Linked DNA regions of Macaca fascicularis. Each later gene encodes a partner of the first gene's protein in a complex. Links are inferred from orthologs where the notes say so. Each region holds a gene or a part of one and is shown in the gene's direction. Other genes may lie near its edges.

What was found. The genes of interacting proteins can lie anywhere in the genome.
Region 2: the proteins of TIMP1 (region 1) and MMP3 are in contact, whole or in part, in a crystal structure (PDB 1UEA), measured with the Homo sapiens proteins. The link is inferred for Macaca fascicularis from reciprocal best matches to the Homo sapiens genes TIMP1 and MMP3. Residues at the interface, in NP_003245.1 of Homo sapiens: Cys24, Thr25, Cys26, Val27, Pro28, Pro29, Val52, Thr56, Leu57, Tyr58, Pro87, Ala88, Met89, Glu90, Ser91, Val92, Cys93, Thr121, Cys122, Leu156, Ser157, Pro159, Gln173, Leu174, Gly177, Glu179; in NP_002413.1 of Homo sapiens: Phe100, Thr102, Phe103, Phe171, Tyr172, Gly178, Asn179, Val180, Leu181, Ala182, His183, Ala184, Tyr185, Ala186, Thr207, Thr208, Gly209, Thr210, Val215, His218, Glu219, His222, Phe227, His228, Tyr237, Pro238, Leu239, Tyr240, His241, Ser242.
Region 3: the proteins of TIMP1 (region 1) and MMP10 are in contact, whole or in part, in a crystal structure (PDB 3V96), measured with the Homo sapiens proteins. The link is inferred for Macaca fascicularis from reciprocal best matches to the Homo sapiens genes TIMP1 and MMP10. Residues at the interface, in NP_003245.1 of Homo sapiens: Cys24, Thr25, Cys26, Val27, Pro28, Asn37, Leu57, Tyr58, Pro87, Met89, Glu90, Ser91, Val92, Cys93, Arg98, Thr121, Cys122, Cys155, Leu156, Ser157, Ile158, Gln173, Leu174, Gly177, Ser178, Glu179, Lys180; in NP_002416.1 of Homo sapiens: Phe170, Tyr171, Gly177, His178, Ser179, Leu180, Ala181, His182, Ala183, Tyr184, Pro185, Tyr191, Asp205, Ala206, Ser207, Gly208, Val214, His217, Glu218, His221, Phe226, His227, Thr231, Tyr236, Pro237, Leu238, Tyr239, Asn240, Phe242, Thr243.

The regions. Positions count from the first base shown.
Region 1 is NC_088395.1:47,679,030-47,683,058, forward strand, and holds the start of TIMP1 (metalloproteinase inhibitor 1), read left to right. Parts: upstream 1-1,229; 5' UTR 1,230-1,268; intron 1,269-2,203; 5' UTR 2,204-2,211; coding exon 2,212-2,332; intron 2,333-3,071; coding exon 3,072-3,151; intron 3,152-3,340; coding exon 3,341-3,467; intron 3,468-3,675; coding exon 3,676-3,800; intron 3,801-4,029. UniProt on the Homo sapiens protein: Metalloproteinase inhibitor that functions by forming one to one complexes with target metalloproteinases, such as collagenases, and irreversibly inactivates them by binding to their catalytic zinc cofactor.
Region 2 is NC_088388.1:101,854,026-101,856,815, reverse strand, and holds the end of MMP3 (stromelysin-1), read left to right. Parts: intron 1-703; coding exon 704-807; intron 808-1,867; coding exon 1,868-1,968; 3' UTR 1,969-2,290; downstream 2,291-2,790. UniProt on the Homo sapiens protein: Metalloproteinase with a rather broad substrate specificity that can degrade fibronectin, laminin, gelatins of type I, III, IV, and V; collagens III, IV, X, and IX, and cartilage proteoglycans.
Region 3 is NC_088388.1:101,791,334-101,794,833, reverse strand, and holds part of MMP10 (stromelysin-2), read left to right. Parts: intron 1-855; coding exon 856-1,020; intron 1,021-1,205; coding exon 1,206-1,350; intron 1,351-2,304; coding exon 2,305-2,438; intron 2,439-3,500. UniProt on the Homo sapiens protein: Can degrade fibronectin, gelatins of type I, III, IV, and V; weakly collagens III, IV, and V. Activates procollagenase.

The DNA.
Region 1 (4,029 bases):
AGTGAATGAGATAATTTATACAAATACTTTAGCACGTAGTATACAGAAAGTGCTCAATAAGCGGCTGCCATCATCACTACAATTATTATTATTGATCTATCCTCCTCGAATTAAGGGTGTTAATCAGAACCCCAGGGAAGATTCCTGCACTGTCAAAAAGCTGGTGGGCAAGGATTGCCCCACCCCACCCTCCACCAGGGGTATAGGTCCGTGGGGAAGGGGCAGGGCAGGATGGGGTGGGGACTAGTTTTCTACTGACCCACTCACTTGTTTCTTTCACCTTCATTCATGGCCACCCCCTTCCCAATGCTCATTCATTCACCCGCACCATTCCCTGCTTGCTAGGATGGTGCCACTCCTGAGTTACGATCCTGGTGCCAGGTAGCCTCAGTTCGAATCCTGGCCATGTCCTGTGATCTTGGGAAAATTCTTCAGTTCCTCTATACCCCATATTTCCTCATCTGTAAAATGGGAATAATAACTGGTACCCATCTCAGAGATTTGTTGTGAGCTCTGAGTGAGATAAACTATGCTGAGTGCCTGGTATACAGTCGGTGCTATATAAATGCCGGCTATTTGCCTGTGTTTTTTGAGACCCTGGCTTTGGTTCCTGGCCACCTGAGTTCCAGTCTCAGTTCTGCCATGTACTGACTCTATGATCCTGGATAAGTCACTTAACCACTCCATGCCTCAGTTTCCCCATTTTGTGTTCCTCCCCATTCACCTGCCTTATCTCCCTCCACTGCTGCTATTTAATTTGTTTCCTCTCTGCCACCCCTCACCAGCATGTCAGACATACAAAACAAGGGATTTTTGTGTGCTTGGCACACAGTAGATGCACAATAAATGTTGAAGGGCTGAACTCATTTGGGTTTGAGCCATAGGGAGCTTGGGGGATGTGGGTGATTGGATAGATTCTGGAGACTTTAGGGGACTGGGCTGGGGGGAATGCGGCCTCTAAGCTCTCCGCTGAGGCGTCTTGGAAGGAATAGTGACTGACGTGGAGGTGGGGGAGGGGGCTGGCCCGGGCGAGGCCCAGGGAGAGGGAGAGGAGGGGGGTGGGAGAGGAGGAGGGTGTATCTCCTTTCGTCGGCCCGCCCCTTGGCTTCTGCACTGATGGTGGGTGGATGAGTAATGCATCCAGGAAGCCTGGAGGCCTGTGGTTTCCGCACCCGCTGCCACCCCCGCCCCTAGCGTGGACATTTATCCTCTAGCGCTCAGGCCCTGCCGCCATCGCCGCAGATCCAGTGCCCAGAGAGACACGAGAGGTAAGCAGGGCCCGGGATGGCCCAGCAGGAACCGGGGCTGGGCCGCAGCTTGGGTGCTGGCCACCAGGCCCGTGCACTCCCGTGCTAGATGCCTGTCTACTCAGCTTGGCCTGCGGGTACCAGGATCCTGGGCTAGTCTAGGGGGAAGAGGGTCGGAGGCTGGAACCGCTTTCCCAACCCTGAGGCTCCAAACTCCCTAGAACCCCTGACATCCATCCCCAACTCTCCCAAACCCATGACCCCCTAGTATCACAAATGCTTTCCAAATCCCCCGCAAATCCCTTCATCCAGCACTTTCCCTCATCGCCTCCTAAATCCCCACTGCTAACCCCTGCAGCTCCCTGAACTCCCCCATCTCCCCAATCCCCAGTTTCCCAGCTCCCCAGCTCCCAAACTTCTTTTGCCCTCAGATTCCTCAAGTATCACCATTGCCTTAAGCCCCCAAATTCCCCCAACCCCTTCAACCTCCAAACTCCCCCAGCTCCCCAAATCCCCAACCTCCTCCAAATTCCTCAACCTCCCTAAATTCCCCCAGCCCCCTATATCTCTTAATACACACAACCCCTAAACTCTGCCTCCTCCAAACCCCTCCAGCCCCCAATCCCAAATTCCTCACCCCCAAACTCCTCAACCTCCAGAATTCCCCAATCCCCTCATTCCTCAAACTTCCTTAGCTCCCTTCTCCCCCAAGTGCCACAGCTCCATAACCCCGCAACTCAGTCCCTCAATAATTTAAACTTTCCCAACTCTCTAAACCCTAAATTCCTCTGGGCTCCCCAATCCCCTTAAAATCCCCAAGCTTCCCAACCCCTGAAGCCCAAATCCAGTCCCCTAATCCCCCCATAGGCTGCCCCGGGGCAGGATGGGGTGGATGACCTGCCCAGGTCAGCAGATCAGCTGGGCTGGGGCCTGCCTGACATCCCTCTTCCCCACAGAACCCACCATGGCCCCCTTTGAGCCCCTGGCTTCCGGCATCCTGTTGTTGCTGTGGCTGATAGCCCCCAGCAGGGCCTGCACCTGTGTCCTACCCCACCCACAGACGGCCTTCTGCAATTCCGACCTCGGTGAGTCCTCACCCCACTCAGCCCACACACTCTGCCTTGGTTTCCCTCTCAGTCCGGTGGGGCTCACGATGGCACTTACCTCTAGAATGATTCCACTCGCCCCTGCTCTTCCTCTGCTTTAGCCACATTGGCATCCTCACACTTTCTTGAGTACTCCGTGCCCAAGCCCACCACAGGACCTGTGTGCTGGCTGCTCCCTCTGCCTGGTACACTTTCCCCCCAGGTATCCACATGGGTGGCTGCCTCAAATGTCACCTTCTCAGGATGGCCTTCCCTGGCCATCTTGTTTAAAATTTTAACCCCTGCCCCTTAGTACTCCTGATTTCCTGTTAAAGAGAAAAATATTCGGTGATAGTTGTTATAGCACAGTAAGGAAGACCATATTCAGGACAATGGTGATGGGTACAGGAACCACTGCAATGGGATCTTGCTGTCTGGGAGAGAGATTGGGCTCAACACTGAATATAGCATGGGCCAGTGGGAATGTCTGGGCACTCCCAAATATTTGAGGAGTAAATGAACAAATGAATAGATGAAAATGGCTTAAGCAGTGCCTGGCGAAGAGAGACACTCAACATACAGATGAATCAATAAACAAATGTGTAAATCACTTAGTGTGCTGTCTGGCATCCAATAACCCCTATTTATGTATGCACGTTGCTGGTATTATGATGATGATGATCTTATTTTTATTGGCTCATGCAGTCCATTTGACTCATATTTCCCTCCTCTCCTGCAGTCATCAGGGCCAAGTTCGTGGGGACACCAGAAGTCAACCAGACCACCTTATACCAGCGTTATGAGATCAAGATGACCAAGGTATCCCCTGCTCCCGCCCCTTTCCCAGCATTTTCTAACATCTTCCTCCTGGTCAAAACAGAAACTTCTGGCCACTGGTTGGTGCAAGAAAGTTGGCTGTGATCTTGGGATGCTATGTGACTTCAGGGAAGAACCTGGAGTGGGAGGATTATGTCAGTAAAAGAGACACTTCCCCTCATCCATCAACAGATGTATAAAGGGTTCCAGGCCTTAGGGGATGCCGCTGACATCCGGTTCGTCTACACCCCCGCCATGGAGAGTGTCTGCGGATACTTCCACAGGTCCCACAACCGCAGCGAGGAGTTTCTCATTGCTGGTGAGGCACCGTCCCCGCGCCCTGTGCCACGCCAACCAGTCCCTGGGGCGCGGCCTAGCAACAGCGAGGGGGCGAGGCTCTGATGGGAATGGATCCACTGGAAATGGGTACCATCCCAATTTCAGCCTATCAGAAGGCCGGGCCTTTGCTAGCCTGGCGGCTCAGCCAATCAAAAGCTGCTTGTCGGTTACCCCCGCTTTCTCCTTAGGAAAACTGCAGGACGGACTCTTGCACATCACCACCTGCAGTTTCGTGGCTCCCTGGAACAGTCTGAGCTTAGCTCAGCGCCGGGGCTTCACCAAGACCTACACTGTTGGCTGTGAGGAATGCACAGTGAGTACCTGGACCCTGACCTCCAACGGGAGATCCTTCCGCGGCCCTTCCCTAAATCGTGGGCTTGTTCCTTGCTCCCTCTGGCTATTCTGTGTCCCTGTGGCTGCTCCCAAACTCTAAGGGCTGTCCCTGATCTCTCTTGCTATTTCCCCAAGCCCCAGACTGCTCCCTTACAAATTCTGGCTGCTCCCTTGCCCTGTGTCCAATACCGTGTGATCGCCTGTCCCTG
Region 2 (2,790 bases), on another chromosome or scaffold:
TGCGTTTGTCTTGTCTTCCTAACACTACTATGTGATATCCAAGGGCTACCTCTAACCTCACCCGTTTGTTACCTCTGCCTGATAATGATGGCACTTTTAAGAGATGATGAGCAATAGCAGTCCAGTTTATGGATACAACCCAGCACTCGCAGACAGGTTGATTCCTGGGTCATTTGCCCAGACTTTGAGACATCGAGGCCGACCATCTGATATCCAGCCAGTGGGCTAAAAACACACATACTGAGCTTTGCTTCTAATCCTAATCTCTTTTCCCGGGAGGCCACCATAGAAGACTTAGATGTGCAGGGTGGGGAGGGCAGGTATATATGGGCCAGTTGTGGTAGGGAACTAAAATTGCACTTTAGATGTTGATTCAATTCACTTTATATATATGTTCACACTTTCATGTCTTTGTGACAGAAAGATGATTAAGATTCTTTCTGTCCAGGCTTAAGAAATACGATGACAAACAGCAGGTGCTACATGCAGCAGGATGCTGCCCCTGTTCTGGATGGAGATATGGCTTTAAGAACTCTTTGCAGTACGATTAAAGTCACATATTTCTACAGTCCCAAATATGCTTAGCGTTTATTTGCAGTACTTACAAAGTTTAGTAAAATTCCACATTAAACCTACCATGATCTAAGATGTTTGGTAACATGGCCTCTATGCAATGCTGAGCTGTTTCTTTTACTCGGTACAGATTTGATGAGAAGAGAAATTCCATGGAGCCAGGCTTTCCCAAGCAAATAGCTGAAGACTTTCCAGGAATTGACTCAAAGATTGATGCTGTTTTTGAAGAATTTGGTAAGAGGATACTTACTGTGTTGGCCATGGAGCACTTGAAACATCTATGATATCAGAGACAAGAGGAGCATTGAAACTTTTTAATAACAAGTGTTTTTTAAGACCAGTTCCCTCCCCAAAATTTTGATTTGCCTACATTTGTACTCATTATAGAACTACTTCACAAAATAACTTGTTTGGAACCATAAAGATAATTAACAAATCTTGCTACTTTATCTTATACATGCATATAAAACCGTGCATGTAAAATCAAAGTGCTCCAGTGTCACTTACTCACATCTCGAGCTAACATGTGAAGTCAAGCTTGAATTTCAGATTACCATGTTAGTATAAAAATCCCATCAAATGGTGTGGCCAGATTTAATATTGGTTAGCTGGCCTTCTCCTCCACCCCATCTTATTGCTGCTACTAATTCCCAGGGAGATCTTTTTCTGTCTTTCCTGAATTGTCAGTCATTGCCCATGCCGGTCATTTGCAAATACTTACCTTTCCATTGCCCAGAGTTTACTCAAGGTAAGTAAGTGGAGGCTGATGATCTTTATTGAAAGGTAACCTGATCACCATGTTTGCAGAGTGCTAAAGGGTTCTCTGGTGTTTTGAAATAGTTGCTGTGCTTCCTAGGCTGCAATGCAGGAAAAAGGGAGGAGGATTTTTGGGGAAGAAAGAAATAGGTGATTAGAGTTTCCAAGCAAGTGGAGAATTTATCTGATCAGAAGCAGAATAACCTTGTAACCTGGAACCTGGCTTTGTTGTTAGAGTGAGCTGGCATGGAGTGCTGGCTCCATCCTTCCTTGCTGAGTAACCTTGAGCAAGCATCGGAATCTGTCTAAACCTCAACTTGTTCAACCTGTAAATGGAGTTAGACATACAATCTCATAGGGTTGTTGCAGAAATAAATGAAAATAAATTCATGTAACAAGCTTGGCATAGTCCCTGACATAAAGTAAAACTCTATAAACACTTTCTATTTTTAGTTCTCTATGATTCTGAGTTTTGTATATTGTCAAATGTCTTTATTTGGAAAAAATGTCTTACTATTTCCCTTGTCTGTATTTGAAGGATTTTTTTATTTCTTCACTGGATCTTCACAATTGGAGTTTGACCCAAATGCAAAGAAAGTGACACACACTTTGAAGAGTAACAGCTGGCTTAATTGTTGAGAGAGATATGTAGAAGGGACCATATGGGAACTTTAAATGAAGCTGATAATTCTTCACCTAAGTCTCTGTGAATTGAAATGGTTTGTTTTCTCCTGCCTGTGCTGTGACTCAAGTCATACTCAAGGGAACTTGAGCGTGAACTCTGTATCTTGCCGGTCATCTTTACATTATTACAGGGCATTCAAGTGGACTGCTGCTTAGCTTGCACCTTGTCATGTGGAGTGATCTTTCCCAAGAGAAGGGGAAGCAGTCATGTGCAACAGACAAGTGACTGTATCTATGTAGACTATTTGCTTATTTAATAAAGATGATTTGTCAGTTATTTTATCTTATTGTTGTATTTGTTTGTTTCAAGGGCAAGTTGTTCTCACAATTTGGGCACATTATGGGCTGAGCATGATCAGTCAGTAGACTAGAGTCTCCACGGCTTGGGGTTCACAATGGGTTCCAGAACTGCAGAGAATCTACAACTTGCCCTCCTCATGAACCCTGCAAACGGGATGCTTATTTCTACCATCTAGACATTTGATGTGTCCTGACATACTTAAGGCAAAAAATCGAGAGGGATCGTGACATTGTAGAGCAGGCTCTAGGAAAAACTGTGAAGGGAATCCTGTACTCATAGCAAATTGCCTCATTTGCACACCTCATTTTACAGGATGAGGAAATCAAACTTGTTTTTGATCTTTTCCTTTTACTTATAAATTCCCTCAGTACAGGTCCCTCCTCTGACCTAGCAAGCAAACTTCCTCATATCTACCCTATTCACACGTTAAAATATACTTTTGTACTCATTTTGTATCTGCCTGTGCCTGGAGGTAA
Region 3 (3,500 bases), on another chromosome or scaffold:
CTAAAGATTGTACACATCCAATGGCACTTATTACTGGGAAGATTTTTGACAATCAAAAATTATTTTATTATGGCTGAGCACCGGTGGCTAATGCCTGTAATCCCAGCATTTTGGGAGGCCAAGGTGAGTGAATCACTTGAGGCCAGGAGTTCGAGACTAGCCTAGCCAACATGGTGAAACCCTATCTCTAAAATATAAAAATTAGCTGGGCATAGTGGTACGTGCCTGTAATCTCAGCTACTCAGGAGGCTGAGGCATGAGAATCGCTTGAACCCGTACTCCAGGCTGGGCAACAGAGTGAGATTCTGTCTCAAAAAAAAACAGTTACTTGAGTATGATGAAGAGGAGGAAGAGCAAATCAGACTAAACTCCACAAGAAATAACTACAGTCTTGTGGCCTAAAAGTTTGGGGAGCAACATAAATGTTATATGATTAATTTTAACCGAGGTTGCAACTGGCACATGTTCCTAAATTTGAACAATGACTTTTTACTTTTAGACAACGAAGAGTTATATTTATTGACATGGATATTAGTCTTGTCCTTTCAAAAAAAAAATCTTTGGAAATAATGCTTCTCATTTGTCAATATAGGAAAAGTGTCTTAGTTTTCCTGACCAAGGAGGGATCTAGGGAGCGATACGGTGAAAAACTGTCTTATATATTGACTTAAAGTCAACCTTGAAAAACACATTAATTTCTATAAAGTATGGAATATGCCAATCAATGAACCAATCCACAAATACTGAAAAGACCATGTGGTTTCAAGGATGGCCTGCACAGCTGGCATATGTTCTGTATGTGTATTTACGGAATAAATAGCTGGTGGATTCTGAACATTTATGGTTGTCATACAGGCACCAATTTATTCTTCGTTGCTGCTCATGAACTTGGCCACTCCCTGGGGCTCTTTCACTCAGCCAACACTGAAGCTTTGATGTACCCACTCTACAACTCATTCACAGAGCTGACCCGGTTCCACCTTTCACAAGATGATGTGAATGGCATTCAGTCTCTCTATGGTGAGTGATGCTGGAAAAATTAGGCATTGTAGCTCTGCAACGACAGTCCTCAAGAAAGCTTTCCAATGCTACCTAAAGTATTTCTGATTTAGCTTGAAGCACTTTGAGAATGTTTGAAAGGCATACAAATTGACAGATGCATCACATTTTTTAAATGTTTGCATCCCCAAATCTGTCTCCTTTAGGACCTCCCCCTGCCTCTACTGAGGAACCCCTGGTGCCCACGAAATCCGTCCCTTCAGGATCTAGGACGCCAGCCAAGTGCGACCCTGCTTTGTCCTTCGATGCCATCAGCACTCTGAGGGGAGAATATCTGTTCTTTAAAGACAGGTCAGACCAGAAAATTATATTTTTCTGTCTATTCTTTTGATGTACAGTGCTTAGAAAGGAAAACAGAAATTTGATAGAGGTTTTTTTTAAAAAACTTTTATTTTAGGTTCAGGGCTACATGTGCAGGTTTGTTATATAGGTAAATTCGTGTCATGGGGGTTTGTTGTACAGATAATTTTGTCATCCCAGTGCTAAACCTAGTACCCGGTAGTTACTTTTTCTGCTTGACAGAGATTTTTTTAAATACAAAATTTTCTCTATATTTTAAAATCATTCAGATCTAGTTCTTGTTGAATTTTTAACATCCTGTTAGAATTGTCCAGGTCATTTTTTACACTTACAAGGGATGATTCTAGACTGTAAGCTTGATTAAGGCAGGGAGTTATATCTGTTTTGTTCATTTTTTAAAATATAAATCATGGAACTTCTTCAGAAAGCACTGGTGAATCCTTAGAAACAGGGTGATATCTTTCCCTTTGCTAAAAATTGCTACTACTTAAATTAATTACTTTTGGAAAAAAGTGATATATGCTTATGGCACAATATTTAGACACTGCCAAAAGATACAGAGTTAAACAATCTCTCTCTAGTCTTTGGTCTACAGTCCCCCAGCTCCCTTCACATGTGTAACCACTGCTACCAATTTCCTTTAACTCTTTACAGAAATGTTCTATTCATATACAAGCATCAATACGCACATAATATTTTTTAAAATATTAGGACATAATATACACACTGTTTATGGACTTTCAGAGTGGAAGCAAGCTAAATAATTTTATTGGAACCAGTCACAAGTCCTGCCATCAATTTTATTACCCTGGAATCACATGCAGGAGGATGGTTTAATATAGACTTCTATGAATGCGTGAATTAGCATGGATTTTTTTTAAAAGAATACTTTTTTTCACATAGCTAAAGGAGAAAGACAATTGCAAGTAATTTTATGTATTACAGATATTTTTGGCGAAGATCCCACTGGAACTCTGAACCTGAATTTCATTTGATTTCTACATTTTGGCCCTCTCTCCCGTCATATTTGGATGCTGCATATGAAGTTAATAGCAGGGATACTGTTTTTATTTTTAAAGGTGAGTACTATATAAGAATTTTCAACTTGCTGGAATAAATCCTAGTGTGAAAATTTTATCGACATGAGTTTTCTCCATTATATTAAAGTTTAGATTACTGCAAGACCTTGTGCTAACACTTAAATAAAATTTGTACAAAGAACATTATAAACTTTATTTTAGAGACCTCTTAAGTGAATAGGTGGTATTCCATATTCATGGATAAAAAATGCAATATAGTAAAAATGTCAATTTATCTATAGATACAAGACATTTTCATTTCAAATGCCAAAAGATTTTTCATGGAACTTGACAAATTAGTTTTACAATTTATACGGCAGCAAAGAGAATAGCCAGGAGGCTCCTGGTGAACCCATCTTATTAGATAAGGAGAAAAGCCCTGTGTTATAAAACTTTAATCAGTAAGATGTAGTATCAGTTCAGGGAGAGATAAATTAACTAATGGAGCTATTCAGGTATGGCGGCTTCTTTATCAGATTTTTAAACTACGGTTTCAATTTGTTTTATTGGTAATATGCTATTTGAGTTTCTATTACTTCTTGAGTCAGTTTTGTTAACATGTTTTTCTAAAAGTTTGCCAATTTTGTCTGTTTTCAAATCCATCAGTAAAAAGTTTTTGGAAAATTATTTTGTTGTAATTTGAATTATTGCTGAAGTTTTGTTCTCTTTTTCATTCCCAATACTGAACCCTTTTGCCTTTCTCTTTTTCTCTTTATTAATCTCATAATGTATGTAATAATGTTATTGATCTTTTCAAAGGACTGACTTTTGGCTTTATTTATCCTCTATATTATATTTTGATTTCCCATTTAACTAATTTCTGTTCATATCCTTATTGTTGCCTTAAGTTTTGTTTACTTTTAATTGATCCTGTTATTATTGTTATAGCTTAAGTTTGATACTTACCTTATTAACTTGTAACTTTTTTCTTTTCTAATATAAGCATTTATACCTATAAATAACCATTTCTTCTTTTTTATTCAGCAAATTTTGATATGCAGTATTTTCATTTTGTTCAATTTTAATTCTTTAATTTCTCATCTTTATTTTTCCCCTAGACTT